Linked DNA regions of Arabidopsis thaliana. The protein of the gene in region 2 interacts with the protein of the main gene of each other region in a biochemical or structural test. Each region holds a gene or a part of one and is shown on either strand. Other genes may lie near its edges.

What was found.
Region 1: of the proteins of AT4G40030 (region 2) and ATXR5, one has a biochemical effect on the other in vitro, tested with the Arabidopsis thaliana proteins (one study listed by BioGRID).
Region 3: of the proteins of AT4G40030 (region 2) and HAG1, one has a biochemical effect on the other in vitro, tested with the Arabidopsis thaliana proteins (one study listed by BioGRID).
Region 4: of the proteins of AT4G40030 (region 2) and ATXR6, one has a biochemical effect on the other in vitro, tested with the Arabidopsis thaliana proteins (one study listed by BioGRID).

The regions. Positions count from the first base shown.
Region 1 is NC_003076.8:3,037,939-3,043,042, forward strand, and holds ATXR5 (TRITHORAX-RELATED PROTEIN 5), read right to left. Parts: upstream 3,224-5,104; 5' UTR 3,033-3,223; coding exon 2,678-3,032; intron 2,578-2,677; coding exon 2,497-2,577; intron 2,233-2,496; coding exon 2,003-2,232; intron 1,908-2,002; coding exon 1,807-1,907; intron 1,721-1,806; coding exon 1,508-1,720; intron 1,426-1,507; coding exon 1,266-1,425; 3' UTR 1,042-1,265; downstream 1-1,041. Other genes in the region: AT5G09780 (Transcriptional factor B3 family protein), read right to left, coding at 1-22, 448-546. UniProt on the Arabidopsis thaliana protein: Histone methyltransferase that specifically monomethylates 'Lys-27' of histone H3 (H3K27me1). Has much higher activity on nucleosomes containing H3.1 than H3.3.
Region 2 is NC_003075.7:18,554,490-18,558,895, reverse strand, and holds AT4G40030 (Histone superfamily protein), read left to right. Parts: upstream 1-1,991; 5' UTR 1,992-2,068; coding exon 2,069-2,152; exon of another isoform or gene 2,153-2,394; intron 2,395-2,478; coding exon 2,479-2,550; intron 2,551-2,632; coding exon 2,633-2,709; intron 2,710-2,794; coding exon 2,795-3,056; 3' UTR 3,057-3,278; downstream 3,279-4,406. Other genes in the region: AT4G40040 (Histone superfamily protein), read left to right, coding at 660-731, 819-895, 998-1,088, 1,187-1,357; AT4G40020 (Myosin heavy chain-related protein), read left to right, coding at 3,596-4,406. UniProt on the Arabidopsis thaliana protein: Variant histone H3 which replaces conventional H3 in a wide range of nucleosomes in active genes. Constitutes the predominant form of histone H3 in non-dividing cells and is incorporated into chromatin independently of DNA synthesis.
Region 3 is NC_003074.8:20,211,290-20,218,691, reverse strand, and holds HAG1 (histone acetyltransferase of the GNAT family 1), read right to left. Parts: upstream 5,287-7,402; 5' UTR 5,100-5,286; coding exon 4,467-5,099; intron 4,380-4,466; coding exon 4,315-4,379; intron 4,206-4,314; coding exon 4,125-4,205; intron 4,026-4,124; coding exon 3,954-4,025; intron 3,710-3,953; coding exon 3,541-3,709; intron 3,271-3,540; coding exon 3,227-3,270; intron 2,982-3,226; coding exon 2,882-2,981; intron 2,483-2,881; coding exon 2,414-2,482; intron 2,330-2,413; coding exon 2,275-2,329; intron 2,046-2,274; coding exon 1,927-2,045; intron 1,818-1,926; coding exon 1,724-1,817; intron 1,612-1,723; coding exon 1,470-1,611; intron 1,381-1,469; coding exon 1,317-1,380; 3' UTR 1,039-1,316; downstream 1-1,038. Other genes in the region: BZIP25 (basic leucine zipper 25), read left to right, coding at 83-208, 302-607; DJ1F (Class I glutamine amidotransferase-like superfamily protein), read right to left, coding at 5,816-5,995, 6,302-6,667, 6,761-7,234.
Region 4 is NC_003076.8:8,294,470-8,299,699, forward strand, and holds ATXR6 (TRITHORAX-RELATED PROTEIN 6), read right to left. Parts: upstream 2,691-5,230; 5' UTR 2,529-2,690; coding exon 2,270-2,528; intron 2,049-2,269; coding exon 1,965-2,048; intron 1,896-1,964; coding exon 1,666-1,895; intron 1,521-1,665; coding exon 1,420-1,520; intron 1,306-1,419; coding exon 1,090-1,305; intron 936-1,089; coding exon 776-935; 3' UTR 641-775; downstream 1-640. Other genes in the region: AT5G24340 (3'-5' exonuclease domain-containing protein), read left to right, coding at 2,859-3,227, 3,510-3,641, 3,727-4,266, 4,435-4,511, 4,619-4,754, 5,083-5,230. UniProt on the Arabidopsis thaliana protein: Histone methyltransferase that specifically monomethylates 'Lys-27' of histone H3 (H3K27me1). Has higher activity on nucleosomes containing H3.1 than H3.3. Involved in the formation of constitutive heterochromatin and the silencing of heterochromatic elements.

The DNA.
Region 1 (5,104 bases), on a different chromosome or scaffold from region 2:
CAAAGTCGTACGGAATCGCTCGCTGTGGTTATATAAAAGAAAGATGAAAAGATATAAGTAAGATACATGTCTGATATTAATATAAAACAGTGAAAAATCAGTGAGCTTTTACACATCCCATCAAGAATCTGAGTACAAAGTTTCAAATCTAACCATGAAATCAGTGAGCTATAACACACAAATGACAAACACAACAAGACGGTGAAAATGAACAGAACAGATCTCATCCACAAGAAATAAAGTACACATCTTCACATTCAGACAGAGAACTGAGAACTAAGAGAAGCACAAAACCATGAAAAAAGTTCCTCAGAAAAGAAAAACAAAAGCTTTTTCTAGACCCATAAAGACAGTTAACGACAAGATTCAAACCTTTAAGAAACCGAAAGTTTAACCTTTCTAGACTAAGCTAATTCAACAACATAAAGAGTTTAGAACATAGTTTACCGTGTCCTCTGAAGACATGTCGGAACGCTTAAGAACTTTGAAGAAGCTTTCCTGCTTCCTCTCTTCTTTGCACCAAAGAAAATCAGGGTTACTTGCCATCTCTCTCCTTTGAAATGTTCTGATTCAAGCTCTCACCTACAAGTTTTGCTCCTTCAACTTGCTCGTCTCTCTCACTCTCTATCTCCTCTCGTAATATTTTTCTCTCTGTCTTGTTGAGCCGTTGAATATGTAGCAAAGCACCACTTAAAATTTCAAAGATATGATTCAATCAAAGTGGTCAAAGTGAAAAAAGCTTTCCTCTCAATACTGAAACTGTAGTACAATTGTGACTTCATCCTTTTTGGATGTGTTCATTTAATTCATAGCATGCGATTATTATGCATAACAGATGAATCTCTTTTGGCGTTAATACATTTCGGTGACTGGAAATAAGAAGTACGACACTAGGCAAGTACTGTAATTATACTTTTCTGTTTAGGTAATGACTGTATTGGATTAGTTCTTCATTTTGATAAATTTATGAAGAAGAGTATAAAAGAAATTATAACTTATTTGGCAACCACTTAAGGTGGTGAAGTTGTCTCCAAGAACATATAAGAAAAAGGTTAGGATTTCATTTGATATCAAACAAAAGTTCAGCAATTGACATTTGCCACATCTTAATCTCTGTAATGTCATTCCAAATCCAATTATTCTACCGCTAACTTCATAATTAAAGGCCATATATTCAGCAGCCCTACATTTATAATTGACCTGTAATATGGCAACAAAAAGAACATCTGATCTAGAGACTCTGTAGAACTGTTAGAATTGAAAGATCAGAGGAAGTGATGAGTAGGATACTCATGTTCATAACCATTGTAGTCATAATAGAGCCTTTCCCCTTTCGATATATCGCGTGTAGCCACTAGAAGAACTCGACATTCGCCGTTTATGCTATACCTCACGCATTTGCAGTTCTGCTTCTTCTTAGCAACCCTGCAACAATCAGTGTGATGTGATGATTCAATGTTATAAACCAGTTTAGTGGGGGGAAAACAATTTTGAATTTGTTGCTTACGGATTGTGATTGTTAATGCCATTAATGAAGCGAGATATGTTTCCAAACTTGTCTGGACAGATAACAAGAGTCTTTGAAGGATCTTCTGATAAAAGGAGAGTCATGATGCTGTCACAATCGTCTTTTTCTCGGTTTTTCAAGTAATCAACATCCCCTGTATATTCAGCTATGAATGTTAAGTCCTTAATAGGACCATCTGCTTCAACTGTGTAACTGTACAAACGGAATAACCAAAGAACATGTTTACAACTCCACTTTGTCATTATGGGAAGGTTGATCGAAGGAATAGAGAGAGATACCCTTCAAGCGGATCAAATACCACAACGAGAGGAGGGCATTCTCCTCGTCTATACATAGATTGACATTGTTCCAATGTCTCTAAATCTTCTTTGCATAGCACCTGCGAAAAGTAAAAACCGAGATAAACAATCAAGGAAGTAACTTAAAATAAGAGAGTTATGGATAAATGGCTGAAAGATTGTTTTTGTTTATTACCTGCATCCCACCTTTCTCTAACTTGGATTGATTTGCAGACCGAGGAGCCATTCCGGGAACATAATTTAAACCATCGCTGTATTTGATACCCAATGCCGTTAATGCAGAAGCAAGTGTTCCCATTTGTGCAAGCCTCTGATCAGGATCTTCTGATGGAACCAAAGGTAAGAGTTTTCTCCTTCTTTTCTTCACTGTCAAAGAGCAAGATCGTCTCCGCTTTCTAGTTTCTTCTTCAAAACAAAGAAATCTCAATCTCAAACACTTGTTATTAGTTTAATCCTGAAGCATCTATGATCTATGTATATGATATGTATAAGTTCTCATCAATGCTTATTAACCCTACATAAGGTGCAACAAAATTTCAAGCATATAATAGGCCAAAGTTAAGCTATTTCATATTCATCTAACTATTTAATCAAGTGAAACATCTCGTCAGATTCATCAACTCAAGAACTTTATGATCATATCATGAAATCCAAAAACAAAAATCGCACCTTGACTCAATTCCAATTTGTCTGTTTGATGAGTATGCTTCTCAATCCGAAAGAAATGTAAAATCTTCTTCTGAGATAACCCTAAACATTTCACCGGACAAGAGAAAAATCCATTTTTTTATTAAACAAAGAACACAAGAAAATTAGGAAATTTAAAAGCGAAGAAACAAAAAATCCATACTTCTTACAGGTCGTTGGTCGGAACAATCGACACAAAGCCAAGTTCCAATGGGGACACGAACAACAATGGGTCTAAGGCATTTCATGTGAAAGCCTCTATCGCATTTGTCACAGAGAAGAAGCTCATCGTCTCCTTCTCCAGAACCACATTTCTCGCAGGTGACGTTACTGTAGCTGTCTTCGTCTTCTTCTTCTTCTTGTTCAACCACAGGGACAGATTTCGCCATTATCTCAGCCATTGATTTCATCTTCCTCGGTGGTGGAGATTCGGAGGAAGGGCGTCTCGCTGGAGCTTTCGTTCGTCGCCTCGATGAGCAAGGAGACGCCGCAGGGGAGGATGCGTTCCATGTGGCCATGACGGAAGCTCACGACGAAGAGTCGCCGGAGAACGGGATATATGATTTTGATTGGTTGGGGCTAATGTGCACCGCCGCGTGTGCGCACGAAAACTGATGTGCGCATCACCTGGAGTGTAATTTGGGATTCTTCCTTTGAGACTCTTCTTTATCGGCTCTTTTGTTTTTTTGACCTTTGACAAATTCAAAATTACTGGTATGTCTTAAAAGGTTTAAACATTGTAAGTGATACTAATAAATTTACAACCATTAAAGCCTTTTAATTGTTACTAAATTTCTTAACTAAATTTTACTTATTTAATTTACTAGGGATTGATATAAAAATTAATACAGTATTAACTATACTATACAAACGTAATTACAAAAATAGATATCTTTCAATTGAAAAAAAATATATGTTGGTGGGCTCAATACAAACACAGTAAACGTCAATTTCGTCAACTGAGCCACCCCAACGCCAAGCCCAACAGTCGGTCCGCCTCATTGGAGGCTCAAGTTCTTTATTTGACAAGCTAAACCAAAGTGTTCTGGTTTGACCAACAATGTAATATTACATAAATCTGAATCTATAAAATACAAAATTTAATAAATTATGTCTTATGGTTTAACATAATTTTCTGTTTCCGATTTAAGAATTTTTCGCCATATTGATTTTCATAATTTTATATACATATATAATATCTTTCAATTGTAAATTTTTATCTTATAATTTTATATATGAATAGTTTTCTCTATTTTTTTCAAGGTTTTTAATTAATAAGAAATTGCGGTGTTAGCGTTAATGAAATAGTTATGGTATAGACTATAAAGAATAATATACATAATTGGAACAAGTGAAATGGTTGTTTGATATATTCTTGACGATGAGAGCAAAACTTTCTTATCATATTTTCTGAACCGGGGTGTATGCTAGGTAATTTTGTGGCTAAGTCCTTTATTAAGGTTGTTGCACTTCTTCACAAGGATGAAAACTTAAGTCTTGCATCGGTGGATGCTTCAAGATATTCATATATGCTCGCCATGTAAGTTTTGCTTATACTAATACTGTTTAAGTCATAGTATTCCAAAAAAATCAAAGAAATAAGACTATTACTGGTCCATCACAATGGATTCCCTTCGAGAAGCCCGCATCGATCTTTCTATGCCTTATGAGTTTTGTCCCTATGAATATGAGGAATATGAAAAACATTCTTGACCTTGCTTCTACTACCGTTAAAGTATGATGTCTCTCTCTTCTCCATGTATCTTGTTACATTCATGCTTGACCAATTTGTTTGTGTTTCATTCATGACCAGTTTGCTTGTGTGTTGTAGATGATGCGTCATTGCTTCGATTATTGGCGTAGTAATGAATTTCCCTTGTTTAAAAACCTTGTTAAACTATCGTTTGAGTCTAAGACGAAAAAAGGTTGGAAAGTTCTTTGGACTCTGATAAAAAGCTCTCCCAATCTAGAAACTTTGATCCTCAAGGTTTGTATGTATAATATGATCTCTTTTTCTCTTTCTCAATTATAAATTTAATCTCGGAGTTTCACTTACTGTGTGTTCTTTTCTTTTCTATCCGTTGTTTCAGGGTTTTCAGTGTGTAAGTACTTGTGGGTATAGCATTGATGGAAATACGTTGAAGGTGTTGGAGTTATACGGGTGTAGAGGGAATCTTAGAGAAGTCGAACAAGTGAGGCTGTTCTGTCGGAAAGTGAATTTCTTCAAGTAATGAAAGTGGAAATTGGTACTAAGGTTGATGTTGACAAGAAATTGCAACTCACCAAAGACCTCCTTCCTTATCCTAACGTTCCTCCAAATGCCAAATCCACTTCTTGTAATCTTTTAAATCCAATTTTGTTTTTGACTGCTCAATCAATCAAGATTCAGTTTGTTTTAGATACAAAGACAACATCTCCCTTGATAGAGCATATTGATAGCTTTACTTTTAATACGATTTTGCCAAGTCCAAACATAAAATTCTGGTTTAGAGTATCAACATTGCAATGATACTAGTACTAAAGAACATTGCAATTTATTCTCAAAGTTCTAATGGCATTGGCCGTGATAACAATTCCATTCACCTTCCAA
Region 2 (4,406 bases):
AGTAAAGCTAGATCTGGACCGTTGAATTGGTGCAAGAAAGCACATGTTGTGATATTTTTACCCGTACGATTAGAAAACTTGAGAAACACATTGATAATCGATAAAAACCGTCCGATCATATAAATCCGCTTTACCATCGTTGCCTATAAATTAATATCAATAGCCGTACACGCGTGAAGACTGACAATATTATCTTTTTCGAATTCGGAGCTCAAGTTTGAAATTCGGAGAAGCTAGAGAGTTTTCTGAGGTACGATTCTTCGATCCTCTTTGATTTTCCTGGAAATATTTTTTCGGTGATCGTGAAACTACTGGAATCGCTCGATAGGTGGTACGAAATTAGGCGAGATTAGTTTCTATTCTTGGCCATTATCTTGTTTCTTCGCCGAATGATCTTCCGGATAAAGATTTTAGGTTAGAGATGAATCGTATAGCTAGATTTCATCACCAGATAGTTTCTTTGTCTAGAATCTCTGAAATTCTCGATAGTTTTCACATGTGTAAATAGATTGTTCTTATTCGGCGATTGTTGATTAGGGTTTTGATTTTCTTGATTATGCGATTGCAATTAGGGATTTTCTTTGGTTTTGTGTTGATCTTACGATACATTCCGGCAATTGAATACGTATGGATCTAAATCTTGTTAATTTGTTGAACAGATGGCTCGTACTAAGCAAACAGCTCGTAAGTCTACTGGAGGAAAGGCTCCTAGGAAGCAGCTTGCTACAAAGGTAAGACTCGGGCTCTCACATGTGATCTGAGTAGCTTGATAAACACATTTCTAGATTTGTTCTAATTGGTGGATGTTTTAATTTAAGGCTGCACGTAAGTCTGCACCAACCACTGGAGGAGTCAAGAAGCCCCATCGTTACCGTCCAGGAACTGTTGCACTACGGTATGCAATCTGTTTCTTCCCCAAATTCAATTGTGTTTTTACTTTATTGATATCGTCATTGATTAAACTCTGTTTCTCTGTTTTATTGATCTTGATTGACAGTGAAATTCGTAAGTACCAGAAGAGTACCGAGTTGCTGATCAGGAAGCTCCCTTTCCAGAGGCTAGTTCGTGAGATTGCCCAGGATTTCAAGGTAATGTGTCTGTTCGTCTGATTCAGTCTACAAATGGATTTAACTTTTTACTTGTTTTGTCATAACCTTGTGTTCTTATCTTGTCTCTTTGATTGCAGACTGACTTGCGTTTCCAGAGCCATGCTGTGCTTGCACTCCAGGAGGCTGCTGAAGCATACCTTGTGGGTCTCTTTGAGGACACTAACCTCTGCGCCATCCATGCCAAGCGTGTGACCATAATGCCCAAAGACATTCAGCTCGCTCGCAGGATCAGAGGAGAACGTGCTTAATTGTGATTGGGAAGTAGTTGGATTATGTGAATGTGGGTGGTTTTCTAAATAGATAGTTGGAATTAGATAATGGCTTAAAAAGCTTTTGGGTGTAGGAGACTTGGAAACAATGGTGTTTTTTTTTTCTTTTCTTTCTGTTTCTTGTCTAGTCGGTTTATGATTTGCTTGTGTTCTTCTTAGCTACGTTTTGTGGTGTGTATTGCTTTCTTCTTTGGCAATGTTGAACACCTTTTGTTGTTGAATTCATCTCTGAAACATATGAATATGTTAAAGTTTCTGACTCTTGTTTCATCTGTATCTGTTCGATATTGTATGATTGAGTTTTATTGTTTATCAATAAGCTTTCTGTTTCAAAGTTCTTTTCAATATCAACAACTTTTACGTTCACGAAATTGGTAATCCGTGTGACACTTAAAATCTCTAATCGTGGCCGTTGGGCTGTGTTGAGAAAACACAATGTACAATAGTTTGAACCGTAGGATAAAGAATGTGAGAAAGCACAAAGGAGCGTATCGTGATAACCCTTTCGTGAGTATTATAAATAATAATTCAACTACATTGCGGCCACAACCACTACTTCAATCATCCCCTATTACTGCTTTTGTTACGAAAGACAAAAAAACAAAACAAAACAAAAGTCAGCTCAGGCGAAGAACAGGTATGATTTGTTTGTAATTAGATCAGGGGTTTAGGTCTTTCCATTACTTTTTAATGTTTTTTCTGTTACTGTCTCCGCGATCTGATTTTACGACAATAGAGTTTCGGGTTTTGTCCCATTCCAGTTTGAAAATAAAGGTCCGTCTTTTAAGTTTGCTGGATCGATAAACCTGTGAAGATTGAGTCTAGTCGATTTATTGGATGATCCATTCTTCATCGTTTTTTTCTTGCTTCGAAGTTCTGTATAACCAGATTTGTCTGTGTGCGATTGTCATTACCTAGCCGTGTATCGAGAACTAGGGTTTTCGAGTCAATTTTGCCCCTTTTGGTTATATCTGGTTCGATAACGATTCATCTGGATTAGGGTTTTAAGTGGTGACGTTTAGTATTCCAATTTCTTCAAAATTTAGTTATGGATAATGAAAATCCCCAATTGACTGTTCAATTTCTTGTTAAATGCGCAGATGGCTCGTACCAAGCAAACCGCTCGTAAGTCCACCGGAGGTAAAGCTCCAAGGAAGCAACTTGCTACTAAGGTTTTGTTCCTTCTTGTCTCTTTTTTCAAATAATACTTGTGTTGTGAAGTTGAATGTTAATCTCCTTCTTTATTAACCTCAGGCTGCTCGTAAATCTGCACCAACTACTGGTGGAGTCAAGAAACCACATCGTTACCGTCCTGGAACTGTTGCTCTCCGGTTTGTCCCTTCTTCGATTTGTATGTGATTCTTTGAGATTATGTAACATTGTGTGTTAACATTCCTCTTATCTTTTGGTGTTCAGTGAAATCCGTAAGTACCAGAAGAGTACTGAGTTGCTTATCAGGAAACTGCCATTTCAGAGGCTAGTCCGTGAGATTGCTCAAGATTTCAAGACTGATTTGCGTTTCCAGAGCCATGCTGTCTTAGCTCTCCAGGAAGCTGCAGAAGCATATCTTGTTGGTCTCTTTGAAGACACTAACCTTTGTGCCATTCATGCCAAGCGTGTGACCATAATGCCCAAAGACATTCAGCTCGCTCGTCGTATCAGAGGTGAACGCGCTTAAGCCAACCAAGAATCCGAGATTTGGTTCAAGTAGTTTTTGTTTTTTATGAAAGCAAGATCTTAATTGCTGTGTTTTTTAAATCTCTGGGTATGTAGTAGTAAGAGTAGTAAGAAGTCTGCAATCTAAGAATGTTGTGTTCTTTAAGCTTATTATTATGTGTGTTGCGAACTCTTTTTAACTCTTTTGTTAAATTCTTATGTTTTCTTAACTCGTTTGTTCGTCACCATTGCTTTCTCTTCAAATAATGGCTGATTTTTTTCTATAATTTTGGATTTGTTGAATGCTTTCTTTTAAAAGAATCAGATTTTGGACTTTTGACCAAAGAAAATAATAATATCAGACGATAAAATAGACGGCTCTCGATAAAACTAACCCTAAAAATAAGGAAATAAGTTCCTCTTTGAACCAAATTTTCTTTCTTTGACCAATAGATCTTTTTGTCAACCTCTTAAATATATTCTTAGTCAATCTTCTAATAAACCCATTGGCCATTACCAAAAATTCCTCGGAAACGCTGAATAAAAAACATTCTATCATCTATGGGAGAAGTCGATGAGAAACCGTCCATTGATGTAGCTTCTCCAAGGTATTCATCGAACAAAGTTGCGGATATTGGTACAGAGCTTTACAAAATGAAAGCTTCCCTTGAGAACAGAGAAAACGAAGTCGTTTCTTTAAAACAAGAGTTATTGAAGAAAGACATCTTCATCAAGAATCTTGAAGCTGCAGAGAAGAAACTGCTTGATTCGTTTAAAGATCAATCGAGAGAGTTAGAGGAAACCAAAGCTTTGGTAGAAGAGTCAAAGGTAGAGATTGCTTCATTAAAAGAGAAGATAGATACATCTTACAATAGCCAAGATTCCAGCGAGGAAGACGAAGACGATAGTTCTGTTCAGGATTTTGATATTGAGTCTTTGAAGACTGAGATGGAATCGACCAAGGAGAGTCTTGCACAGGCTCATGAGGCTGCACAAGCCTCTTCTTTAAAGGTTTCTGAATTGTTAGAAGAGATGAAATCGGTTAAGAACGAGCTTAAATCAGCGACTGATGCAGAGATGACTAACGAGAAAGCAATGGATGATTTGGCTTTAGCTTTGAAAGAGGTAGCTACTGATTGTAGCCAAACGAAAGAGAAGCTTGTGATTGTGGAAACAGAGCTCGAGGCTGCTAGGATAGAGTCTCAGCAATGGAAGGACAAGTACGAGGAAGTGAGGAAAGATGCTGAATTACTTAAGAACACGAGTGAGAGACTAAGGATTGAAGCAGAGGAATCGCTTTTGGCTTGGAATGGGAAAGAATCTGTGTTTGTGACTTGTATAAAGAGAGGAGAAGATGAGAAGAATTCACTTC
Region 3 (7,402 bases), on a different chromosome or scaffold from region 2:
CATACATTTATACATTTCTCGAGTCTTTCTTACTTTTCAACAGTCTTCAGGGGTTTATAGGTAAAGTTTTTACCAATTGTAGGTAGGCCAATTAAGAGCCGAGCATTCAACTTTAATTAATCGTCTTAGTGACATGAATCATAAGTATGATGCAGCTGCTGTTGACAACAGAATTCTAAGAGCTGATATCGAAACTTTGAGAACAAAGGTACTCTTGTGACTCACGAGTGTTAAGAATTTAAAACACCCAAGATTATGATTTAATAACTAAGTTAATTGCATTGATAAAAAACCTGTGCAGGTTAAGATGGCAGAGGAAACTGTGAAAAGAGTGACAGGAGTGAACCCTTTGCATTGGTCAAGACCAAACATGGGCATACCATTCAGCAACACACCGAGTGCTTCCTCTAGTATTCCGCCAAACTCTAACCACATTTTGAAACCAGCAAATTCAAGTACCAACACCAGTGCTGGTTTAGCACAAAATCAGAGAGTGGAGACGGCAAATTTCTTGCCGGAACAGGTGAACCGTGAAGGCATGCAGAATCCATTTGCTCCTGATTCTAATCTGTATGAAACCCTACCCCATTGGAATCACAAGCATTAACCAGAAAAAGAGTCATTGGTTTTGTGATTTTGATTGAGGTAACTATTGTCTGTATTTTTATTTACTGTATGACTCAGCGACGGTAAACTCTTAATATTATATATATGATTGGACATGATGGAAGAATGTATAAGCTATCGTGCTTCTAAGGCAAATCGAAGTTGAAATGGTCGTAGACGTAATCACGTAAACATGTGCAGCAGCGTAAGCGTATAAACACAAATGTATCAATAGTTACTTATGGCAAACGTAACCGTTTTAACGAAATGTTGAGCAACAACAACTCACATTCATCAGATTAAAGAAATCTGTGCAGCGTAAGCGTGAGTGTAAGCGTGTAAACACAAATGACCCATGACGCTCATTCTCTTCACCATTGTTGATCCGATCAAAACCACCGAAACTGGTGATCCCGTTCGATATCAAAATTTGGTTATGTGATTTTCATCAGAAACATTTAGTAAAATGAAATGTGTCTTTACAGTTGGAAATAAGCTTTATAGAACAAATTTAACCTACAAAGTAAAAACTTAAACATTCTGAATCTAACTAAATCAAATATTTACCTATCCGAAAAAAAAACATACAAACAATTAAGCTCCAGTATACATGGGCCTAAAATAGTATACATGTATTCCCAGTTCCAATGAAAGTATCTTAAAATGAAAGATCTAGAAAATGATATTAATATAACCTCTACCATCTTCTTCTATTGAGATTTAGCACCAGATTGGAGACCTGCTTGTACTTTGCTATGGAAGTGTGTTTCCAACCTTTTAAGAGAAAGAAAAACAAAGTAAATGCACTATTTCATTACTGAATAAGAAGAGAAGAAATGAAATGAAAGAAAAAAACGTCTTACCTGGTTGCACATTTGTAATAAATGGTATCGGGGGAGTTGTAAGTTCTACAATTGTTAAACATCCGTCTCGCATCCGCAACAAACATATCCAATGTCACGTAATACTGTTCCGACTCTACCCTCTTTGCAATTACCTTCAGATCTGTGTTCAAACCATTTTTTGGTTACCAAAGTGATTTAACACTTCTACTTAAAAAGAGGACAAATTCTGGATAATTAATAGCGAAATTGATATTTTAACTATATCTTCTTACCAATGGGATCCTTAATGATGTCATAGTAATCAGGGACATCGCGAGAATCCACTGGTTCTTTGAAAGGCCAAGCATCAGCATGGTCTTGCATTGTCTGTAGCAATTAACTACAGCTTGTCAAATTAAAGGGCATGTAATTGCAATAACATAATATGTAAGAGGACATAATAATTAATAACAAAACAAAAAAGATTTATCACAACCTTTAAAAGCGCACGCATGAGTGCATTCAACTGTTTTTGATTTGTCACCATATCAGCAGAACCATTGAATAATTTGAAACGAGTGTGCCCCCACTGATCTGGGGTCCAACCAGCTTCCCCTGCAACAGTATACCATAATTCATGAATTAGCCAATTCATGTATTACAGATAAACCCTTAGCCCACAGCTAACAAATGCAGGAGAATCTCAAACATGCATATCAACTTGATCTCATGGAGCGACTAGCACAATCTTAATTTTGAGATGACTAGAACATTTTAAAGGGAGATATGTCTATATTTTGGGTAAGAAACTGCAATAACACCATCAAGTAGAATCATAACTTACTTAAGCCACGTATTTCCTCAACTTTGATAATCTTTCTAGGAATTCCAGCTTCATTCTGCAAAAATCATCTCATTTATTATTACTACTGGAAACATTGTATACAATAATAGCCACAAGACATGAAACCATTGATGTTTACCTTTAGAAACTCAATTTTTGGATACACATTCTGACAGTTTGATAACTCTCTTATCCTTTCATCAATTGCCTGATATTATAAAAGTACAACCGGATCAGAAACTGATACGTATAATTAGACAGAAATGTAACAATGGTTACTCGTTTAGTGTTACGTTGCTATGCTCTCTTGAAAGCAGATAGCTTTTGGGAGGGCAGCTTGATTTTTGGGCTCATAGGGGAAGACAGGAATTTCCATTAATTAATTCCTCGAGAGAGAGAAGAGAGGAACTTTCAATAATCGAATCCTCAAGTTTGTATTTCTTATGTTTTTAATTTTTTTCAGAATCAGCCATAATGCTAGAGTTAAATAGTGAAAGTAAAGAAAGTAAACAAATAGCTTCGTAACCTGAAGAACTATTTGGGTATAGATGAACCTGAAGGCTCGAGATATTTTTTCACCACATAAAAGGTATTTTCAAAGGCTTACCTTTCTTTGCTGGCGTATCATGCTTGACAAATCCGTATATGGCAGCTTTGGATCAATTTTGCATTCCATAAGGAGACCACCATCATAGTCTTTAATGAACCTAAGAAAATTTCAAAGGTTTTTATTTGCAAAAGTAAGTTTCAAGATGAAGAAGAGAATGATAAAGACAAGTTTTAAATAGCTCTCTCGTAGCATAATCAGCCACGCAATAAAATGCTTGTATTCTAAGGTTTGTGAGCTTAATTGGGCCAACAAATATTTAAGTTAGACATCATACAGATAAAGCACAGAAGTTAAGAATGGTAAATGAGCAGTTTGAACTTAAGAGATACATAGTTTCCATACCCATGCCATACATCTTTCTCCAAGTAAATCTCTTTAGTAAAACCCTGCACAAGATAATAGACGTAACAGATCAACTTAGTGGACGACTGTAAGAATATAAAAATTACAGTTAGAATCCAGAAAGTAGACTTGATAGCTAAGTGTGGAAACAGAACTTTTAGAAGTGAAACTCTGAGGTATCTCCTATTAACCAATAGAAAACATTACATCCAAAACACAGTTCAACTACTTTTCTGGAATGTACTACAGTTGGTCGAAGTTTGTTGAGAGATTAAAAATAGAGCAAAAAATTGCACAATATACGAAACACCAACCTGCTTGACGAAGTAACCAACAGCATTGTTGTCAGCATAAGTAAGAAAATGCGTCAATCCATCAACATCACGTGCATGTTGTTTCAAGTGGTTCATCAATCTGGTACCGTAACCTTTTACTTGTTCATCTGCTGTGATTGCACAAAATGCTATTTCCCCAAACTTCTGACTGAATCCCAGGGAAACAATGGAGTTAATAAGCATGTCAAGACTGTATTCATGCTCATTATGACATCAGACAGTTTCAGAAATATTCTATAGGAAAAGTAAGCTGTGTTTGATGATAATATAAGATAACAAGTCAACATGCTACTCTCTAAACAGCAAAAAGCTGTATAAGCGTATTCACATACATATGGTGGAGAAAATCATCACTGGGTCAAAAGATGGGAAGAGTTATGCGAAAACCTTACCTGTGATATGGACGATACGTGATACCACCTACAACTAGATTCCCTCTTAGTACCATAACAGACTTATGTTTCCTGGGCAAATAACATAAGTTACAGATATTAGAATGCTTACCATTTGCGATTGTTTGTTACAAAAATTGTCAATGTTTCACTTTAGTTTAGCATGTTTACCTATCCATCAGAAGACGAACAATGTACTCCTTGGGCATATTAGGTAACTGTCTTGCAAAAATGTTCTTCAACCCAATCAAGCTGGAATACATTCAACAAATTATTCATAAAAAACGAGGTTAGAACGAAGAATGCATAGCTGATTAGAAGCTAAATTCAATGGCAGGAGACAAATGATGGAAGGCATTACCACATCATATGCTCATCAATGGAATCATTTGAGTAACAAACAAATTTGAGTCGTCCTGCTTGCTCCTAAATGAAAGATATCACCAAATTTGTCAATGGCGATTCTCTGAACTCATCTAGTAATTCATTAGCATAGATCCAGTGATAAGCTACCTCTCTTTTCAAAGCCTCTTCTCTGGCAATGTAAGCTCCGCTAGTCTGGAAATTCTCAGCCAATACCTTAACAGACTCATCCTTTGGCACGAGCCCTGAGATTGAGCTTCCTCCAACAGTGCCACTCACACCAGTCCCAACCACAGATGATCCACCATCTTTTCCACCATCAGAGCTCTCAAGCTTCACCGTGGAGCTTTCCGTCTTAAGTTTAGTGTTGCGACTCGAACCGTTGACTCCAGAGCTGGAATCGAGTCGAGCGGCGGTGAATGTGCGGATAGAAGAGTCCTGGTCCTGTTCAGGAGCAAATTCGTCCTCGTCATCATCCACGACTATATCCTCTGATTCATCAGGATCTGAATCTGTATCGGCGCCGCGAGCGGAGATGCTCTCGAGTTCATCGTTGGAGGTTAAAGCGCCGTCGCGAGTATCGGCAGAGAAGGAGGAAGGAGGGAAAGAGGAAGAAGGAGGGGCGTGATCTTCAGAAGCGGCTGCATTCGCTGCCGTGGTGGCGGCGAGTTTGCGTTTGTGGAGAGAAGAAGTGACGGAGGCGGAGGCGGAATGAGAAGGAGAAGGAGTCTGAGAACTGCGGGAACGATTGGCGGCGTTGAGGTGGGAAGAGTGAGAGTCCATCGAAGCAGTATAGTGAAGGTGATTGAGAAAATCGTGACGAAATCGAGAGTCTAGGGTTTTTGCTCAGATAATTTGGGGGCGGGAAAGACTACGCCGACGAACGGAATATTCTGGCATCGTTTTTTTTTTTTTGTTTTATTGATCCAACAAATTTTAAACCGAAACTAATTCGGTAATTGTAATTCCTATGAGTAAATTTATGCAGTGATTAAAATGTGATTAACTATATTGGTCGGATATAAACAGTACAATTCGTCGGTAAATTATTTAAAAGTTCAGTATACTTTTTGGATGAACATTAACGTCTTTAATCCGTTTATGTGTTGTTTTATTTTATAGTATGTTGTTAAATTTAACTTCACAAAATTTAATGTGTTTGGAATCTGTTACTAGTATTTAACAAGGAAACACAATTTGCTGGTGACAGATTTTGCTATCTCTAATCAACTTTAGTCTTGAAGTAGTGTTACAACATAAATGGTCAATAGAGCTTGTTTACCAAATGTAAAACGAGGAGAATGACAACTTGATAGTGGTAATTTCTTATAAAAAAACACAATTAGAAGAGGTGTAAGCAAGTGTGGCAACTCTTCTTCCCATATATATATGCAAATCCAAGCTTGTACATAAATAATTAGAGGGACGACCTTATATTTCGACATACAAAGATATGTTTTTATTTTTTTAGGCATTAGACGTTAAAGCACCACTTGACATTAGAATACAACAGAGAGACCAAGTGCAGTCGACAATGCATACAAAAAGGCAGGAAGATCGGAAGTTGATGCGGCTGTGACCAGCTTGTCGTCGGTCACGCACCGTTCAGATTCCACGATCTCACCACCAGCAACCTTCACAGCCACCTTTGTCCCATAACTACTTGCACATCTCTTCTTCTGCAATGTAATAATATAGCATGCCACAATGGGAATTAGATGAGTTATAACAAGCTGGCAAAAATTATAATCTATGCTAAGGAAGTGGTGCCATAAATGTGATGAATTATATCTTACTAACCTTCAACAATATGCTGGAATAATATTAGTCATAACCATAACCATAGGAGATTCCTATGTGCTTAGAGCAACTTATCTTGACATTTTTGTTTCGTTTAAATTAAAATATGGTTTGGTTCGGCTTCAGTTTTAACTTTTAAGTCTTTAGAATAGTAAAACGAATTTTTGTAAAACGGTGTATATTACCTTAAGGGCGCCTGTGGCGGCAAGTAGCCAATTTCCCATTCCAATGGCAGCAACAAACTTGCCTTTCTCAACAAACTTTCTGACCAATTCGACGGCCTTGGGGTTCATCACCAAGAGCTCCGGAGATCTTCCTCCGGGAACCACAATGCAGTCGTAATCATCCACAGAGACATCATCCCACGCAACGGTCACATAGAAGTTGTGACCAAACTTCTCAGTAGGAAGTTGCCGTCCGTCTTCAAGGTCGTGTACGATTGTAGCGCATTTCTCACCTCTCTTCTTGGTTGGCGTCACTGCATCCACTTTACATCCCAAAGCTTGAAACGCTTTAAATGGTACGTTGATACTATAATCTTCAACACAATCCTAAATATACCAAAATTACGTATTAGTCAGACCATTTTTTTAATTCCAATATATAAAGTCTAAAAGAGAGTCTTATGAAAATAAGCTACTTACCCCAATCAAGAAAAGCAAAGAAGTCTGATGATTCTCTTTAGAGCTAGAAATCTTGGAGCCAAGTGATTCTAACAAAACTTTGAGACTATGGCCAAGCGTTGGCCACCCCATAGTGGACATGAAACTGCCGTCCTTGACACAATCAGTGATTTCGAAAAGGGTCTGGACTCCAGGCTGTTGCCACCATGCGCCGCCGGAGAGCTCGATAAACGGTTTCATGCTTTCGAACGCCGTGCACTTCATTCCACCGGTGAGCAGACCTGCCGCCGCAAGAAACAGCTGGCTGTGGCAGCTCGTGAAGATGAGCTTCTTGAGTTCGGCGAATCTAGCAACAAGACTCACGCATTTCTCGTCGGCGCTCAAAAGTTCCGTGAAACGTCCACCGGGAATGATGATGGCGTCGTATTGGTCGGGGATGACGCCATCGAAGTTAGCGTTTAGTGTTAGATGGTCAACCACCAGTTCGGTGTATATCTGTAAAAAGGTAAAAGTCAAATTGAAACTCTTCTTTTTTACTGTTAAGAGTAGGCCCATGCATTTTGGGTTGAGACCACCCAATTATCTAAACTTTTTGGATAAAGATAATAAAGGGGAAAGTCCACCCAATTATGAGCATTTGATCGCATTGTTTTACTAAATATG
Region 4 (5,230 bases), on a different chromosome or scaffold from region 2:
AGAAAGTCATTTTTGAAATAATTTTATTGAGATTCTATAGTATCTAAGGTCCATCCTGACAGTTTAAGATCATAATGCTACTGACCAAAGTTTGGTCCTATATTAACTTGTTTTGAGGCGTATGTTAAGAGATCCAAGGTTTATCTATGCTTCCTACGTCAAATTGATACTTAGTAATCAATTTTAATATGATATGTCCGCTCCCGTAGCCAAATTTATAATATCCTGATGGAGAGCTAAAAGATGAAAGATAAAATGTTCAATAAATCAATGTCGAGATATTTATCAAATTGTCTCTTAGGTATGTACGATGCATTAAAATTGAATAAATTTGTTGGAGAATGCAAAAAAAGATGAAAAATGGTAAGTGTGGGATCCAAAAGGAAGTTTATGTCCCACAGTGATCTGAAGGAATCACAAAGGAATGGTTTTTTTGATGCAAACTCTCATAGTCGCTTGAAGGTACTGTCAGACTCCTTTAGTCTTTAGGCTCTTTGGACCATTCTATTTCATTCATTATTCCTACTCTCTCTTTTCCTTACCAACAATCTTTATTTTCTTCAATTCAATTCCCATTTCTAGTGTATTTTTTACAAATAGAACATCAATTATTCCGACAAGGCTTCACATTTTGATCCAACTTGAAGTAAGGCTTTGGTTCATGGTCTAAAAGCCCAGTTAAAGCATTAGGAAGGACAAAAAACACTTTTAGGTTGTTTCTTGATGAACAAGCAACCTTTTTAATAGGTTGACCTTTCTTACGAAATTCACAGGGTTATACAAAATGTTCAGTTGGATACTCATGTTCATATCCGTTGTAATCATAATACAATCTTTCCCCTTTCGATATGTCTCTATTAGCTACGAGAAGAACCCTAGCTTCTCCGTTGATGTTGAACCTCACACACTTCAGGTTCTGCTTCTTCCTCCCTTCTCTGCAATTCACAAAATGTCAACAAATACACAATGAGGACAAGCAATACTAGAATGGTTCCAACTAATTCAGAAGCAGGACCAAAACATGGAGCTCAGGTGTTGTGACCAGAGAGTCGACTTTAAGGAACCAAATAGAAGAGAAGAGAAACTCACGGTGAGTGATTGTTGATGCCACTGATGAACCGGGCGATGTTACTGCGTCTGTCAGGGCAAATTACGAGACATTGCGAAGGATCAGAGGCATGAAGTAGAGTCATCATACTGTCTCCATCATAGTCATCTTCTCTATTGCTCAGATAATCAACATCTCCAACATACTCTGTGATAATTGTCCAGTCTTTTATAAACCTGTCCGCCTCTACTGTGAACCTGTTCAGATAGAAAAAATTAGACTTCAATATAATTATACATTGATAAATGCATTTTCCTACTCTCTTCTTGGTTATAAAGGTCAAAAGAGAAGCTAATAAGAATGTTAAGTACCCTTCATAAGGATCGAAGACGACCATAAGTGGCGGGCATTCACCGAGGTCCATCATTTTCTTGCACAAGGCTAAGGTCTCTACGCCTTCTTTAGATAGAACCTGTATGAAATTAAATACAAAATCAACTTTTCTGTTGATACTTAACCCAACAATGAATGCTTTCAAGAAACCTAAGAATCACCAAACCAATCATATAGATGTGACTGAAGAACAAGAGCAATACATATCAACTTAAGATAGATACCTGCATGCCTCCTTTCTCAAAAGCAGCTTGGTTTGCAGATCTTGGAGCCTTTCCAGATACATAAGTAAGCTCATTGCTGAACTTGGTGTTGGAAGCTCTCAACGCAGTGGCCAGAGACGCCATTTGCTCTAGCCTCCTTTGAGGATCATTGCTAGGATTGTATGGAAGAAGCCTTCTCTTCTTCTTTGACATCACCAAGCTAGTCTTTTTCCGTTTCTTCCCAATACTATCTGCAAACATTTCACTATTCAGATTAATATTTCTAGGGATTTAGATTTCTAATCTGCAAAATTACATACCTGAAGAACTTGAGATTTGAGATGAATCTGGAGACCGCTTAATCCGGAAGAAATCTATAATTTTAGTCTGAATAAGAGGGAAAGCTGCAGATTTACAAAACTTTTCATTAGTAATTCAGCAACAGTGTAATCCAAAACCTGATCTAGTAGTGTTAAATCTGAATCAAATTCGCAAAATCAAATCAAAGACAGAGATCAAGAAACCCAGAAGAATCCTAAAATCTAAAGCTCAACAATAAACATATCCTAATCAAAAGAAGGAAGCTTTGAAATTAGAGTCATGTGGGTATAGTGAAAAAGCTTACATTTAGGGATCTGATGTTTGGAACAAGAAGGGCAGAACCAAGAGCCTTTGGGAACTGAAACGAGGATCGGTCTGAGACAGAAAAGATGAAACCCTTTATCGCATTTGTCGCAAAGAAGCAGCTTTGCTGGTTGTTTACCGGAACTGCATTCTTCGCAGACTGTATCCCAATCGGAATCGGAATCATGATCCGACATGTGTTGCGGTGGTTCGGATCTAGGGTTTGACGCTTGTGTTCTCCTTCGCCTCACAGCCACCATTCTTACACTTATTGATTTACCAGAGAAAGAGAGAGAGTGAGAGATTATAAATGTGAGATCTAGCCGAGGTTGAGTAGAAGAGTTCGCGCTCTGGATTCACCGGATTTTCCCGGGGAATTTTAATTTGGCGCCACTGTTACGGTTTCCCGATTTGCAGACTGGTTTATTTTGGTTTTATCTAACCGATTTTGAGAAATTAGGATTAGATCGGTTCATATATTTTGGTTGTTCGGTTCGGTTCAATTTGATTATCCCACCGGACAAACCAAAACCGACATAAGACTCTCCTTCAATGTAACTTTCAACTAAATTGATTTTGCTCTTTGAACGATGGAGACCAATCTAAAGATCTATCTAGTTTCATCCACCGACTCGTCCGAGTTCACTCACCTGAAATGGTCTTTCACTCGTTCTACGATCATCGCCTTAGACGCCGAATGGAAGCCACAACACTCCAATACGTCGTCGTTTCCGACCGTCACTCTCCTCCAAGTCGCATGCCGACTCAGTCACGCCACGGATGTCTCCGATGTCTTCCTCATTGATTTGAGTTCGATTCATCTTCCATCGGTTTGGGAGCTGTTGAATGATATGTTCGTGTCGCCGGATGTTCTGAAACTAGGGTTTCGGTTTAAACAGGATTTGGTTTACTTGTCTTCGACATTTACTCAACATGGATGTGAAGGTGGATTCCAAGAGGTGATTTGCTTTTGAAAGTCTTGAACTTTGCTTCGTAGTGTTAGTTTAAGCTAATTGTAGTCGAATTCTTATCAAAGTTTTAACCTTTAGCTCTGTTATATTCTCTTGTACTTAAAGTTCTTGTGTTTGGATCACGTGTGGTGTTTATAGATAGGTAAGTATTGATTTGTGTGTTTATTGACTTCTGTTGAAAGTAGATTGTTGAATTGTGTTTTTCTTTTATTTGCCTTTTTAGGTTATGTTGCTTTAAAACTCTATGTTTGTGATTGTTGATGTGAATAGGTGAAACAATACTTGGATATTACAAGCATATACAATTATCTGCAACATAAGCGGTTTGGGAGAAAGGCGCCAAAGGATATCAAGAGCTTGGCTGCTATATGTAAGGAAATGCTGGACATCTCTCTCTCAAAGGTTTGTCAATGATTCCTGCAAGAATTTGACTTTTCGTGAAACGTACTGTTAATAAGGCTTTTCTTAACAGGTTTTTATTCTTTAGGAACTTCAATGTAGTGATTGGTCATATCGTCCTCTTACAGAAGAACAGAAACTATACGCTGCCACAGATGCTCACTGCCTGCTCCAGATATTCGATGTATTTGAGGCGCATCTTGTTGAAGGAATCACAGTGCAAGATCTTAGAGTGATAAATGTTGGCTTACAAGAAATTCTGACTGAATCGGACTATAGCAGTAAGATTGTCACAGTCAAACTTTGCAAGGCTACAGATGTAATCAGATCAATGTCGGAAAATGGTCAAAACATAGCCAATGGAGTGGTTCCAAGAAAAACGACACTAAACACGATGCCAATGGATGAGAATTTGTTGAAGATTGTCAGGAAGTTTGGAGAACGGATCCTGTTGAAGGAGTCTGATCTTCTACCAAAGAAACTTAAGAAGAAAACAAGAAGACGTGTCGCCTCAAGCACTATGAACACAAATAAGCAGTTGGTCTGTTCTGCGGACTGGCAAGGTCCACCGCCATGGGACTCATCTTTAGGCGGTGATGGCTGCCCTAAATTTCTATTGGATGTGATGGTATTTGAATCAATTTCTGTTTTCTGTTGCTCTTTTGTTTCTTGGTTTTATTTAATTAGAGGACAAGAATTTGATTTCACCTATTTAGTATCTTTGTTTTTGAATCTAACCATTTTCAGTAGAATCCATGTGGTATCATAATCAGTTTCTTGTAAAACTACTTTATAGGTTGAAGGTTTGGCGAAACATCTACGTTGTGTGGGGATTGATGCTGCAATCCCACACTCAAAGAAGCCGGATTCAAGGTACTTTATCCTAAAGCTGCTATTAAAGTTTTTCTGTGACATGGGGTTTTGATCACAATATCTGTATAGGATTGATTTTCTAATTGTGATGTTGACACAAATGCCAGGGAGTTGCTTGATCAAGCATTCAAAGAGAACAGAGTTCTATTAACAAGAGATACAAAATTGTTGAGACACCAGGATTTGGCAAAGCATCAAATATATCGAGTAAAGAGTCTTCTTAAAAATGAGCAGCTACTTGAGGTACAAACAAAGTTAATTTTCAACGTATAAGCTGTTATGCAAGATCTGTGATGTGGCATGATTTGGTTTACTAGATTTATTAATCAAAAAGGACACATACCCTGGAAATTTTGCTTTAAAGAATAGGATCTCTCAAGACACTAGTTAACAAATTTATTTTTAACCTTACTTTCTGGGTGGAACATTTTCTACACTACCTGTAATTATGGCATGCTTGGATTCACCGAGCCAAAATAACCTCGTCCACTCACTGTGCAACCACTTTTCTTACATTCAGTAGAATGATTACGGATTTTTTGTGAATTACTGAAACAAATAAGCTTCGCAGGTGATAGAGACTTTCCAGCTAAAGATCAGCGGAAATCAGCTGATGTCCAGATGTACGAAGTGCAATGGGAAATTTATTCAGAAACCTCTAAGCATTGAAGAAGCTATTGAAGCAGCAAAGGGTTTCCAAAGAATACCCAACTGCTTAT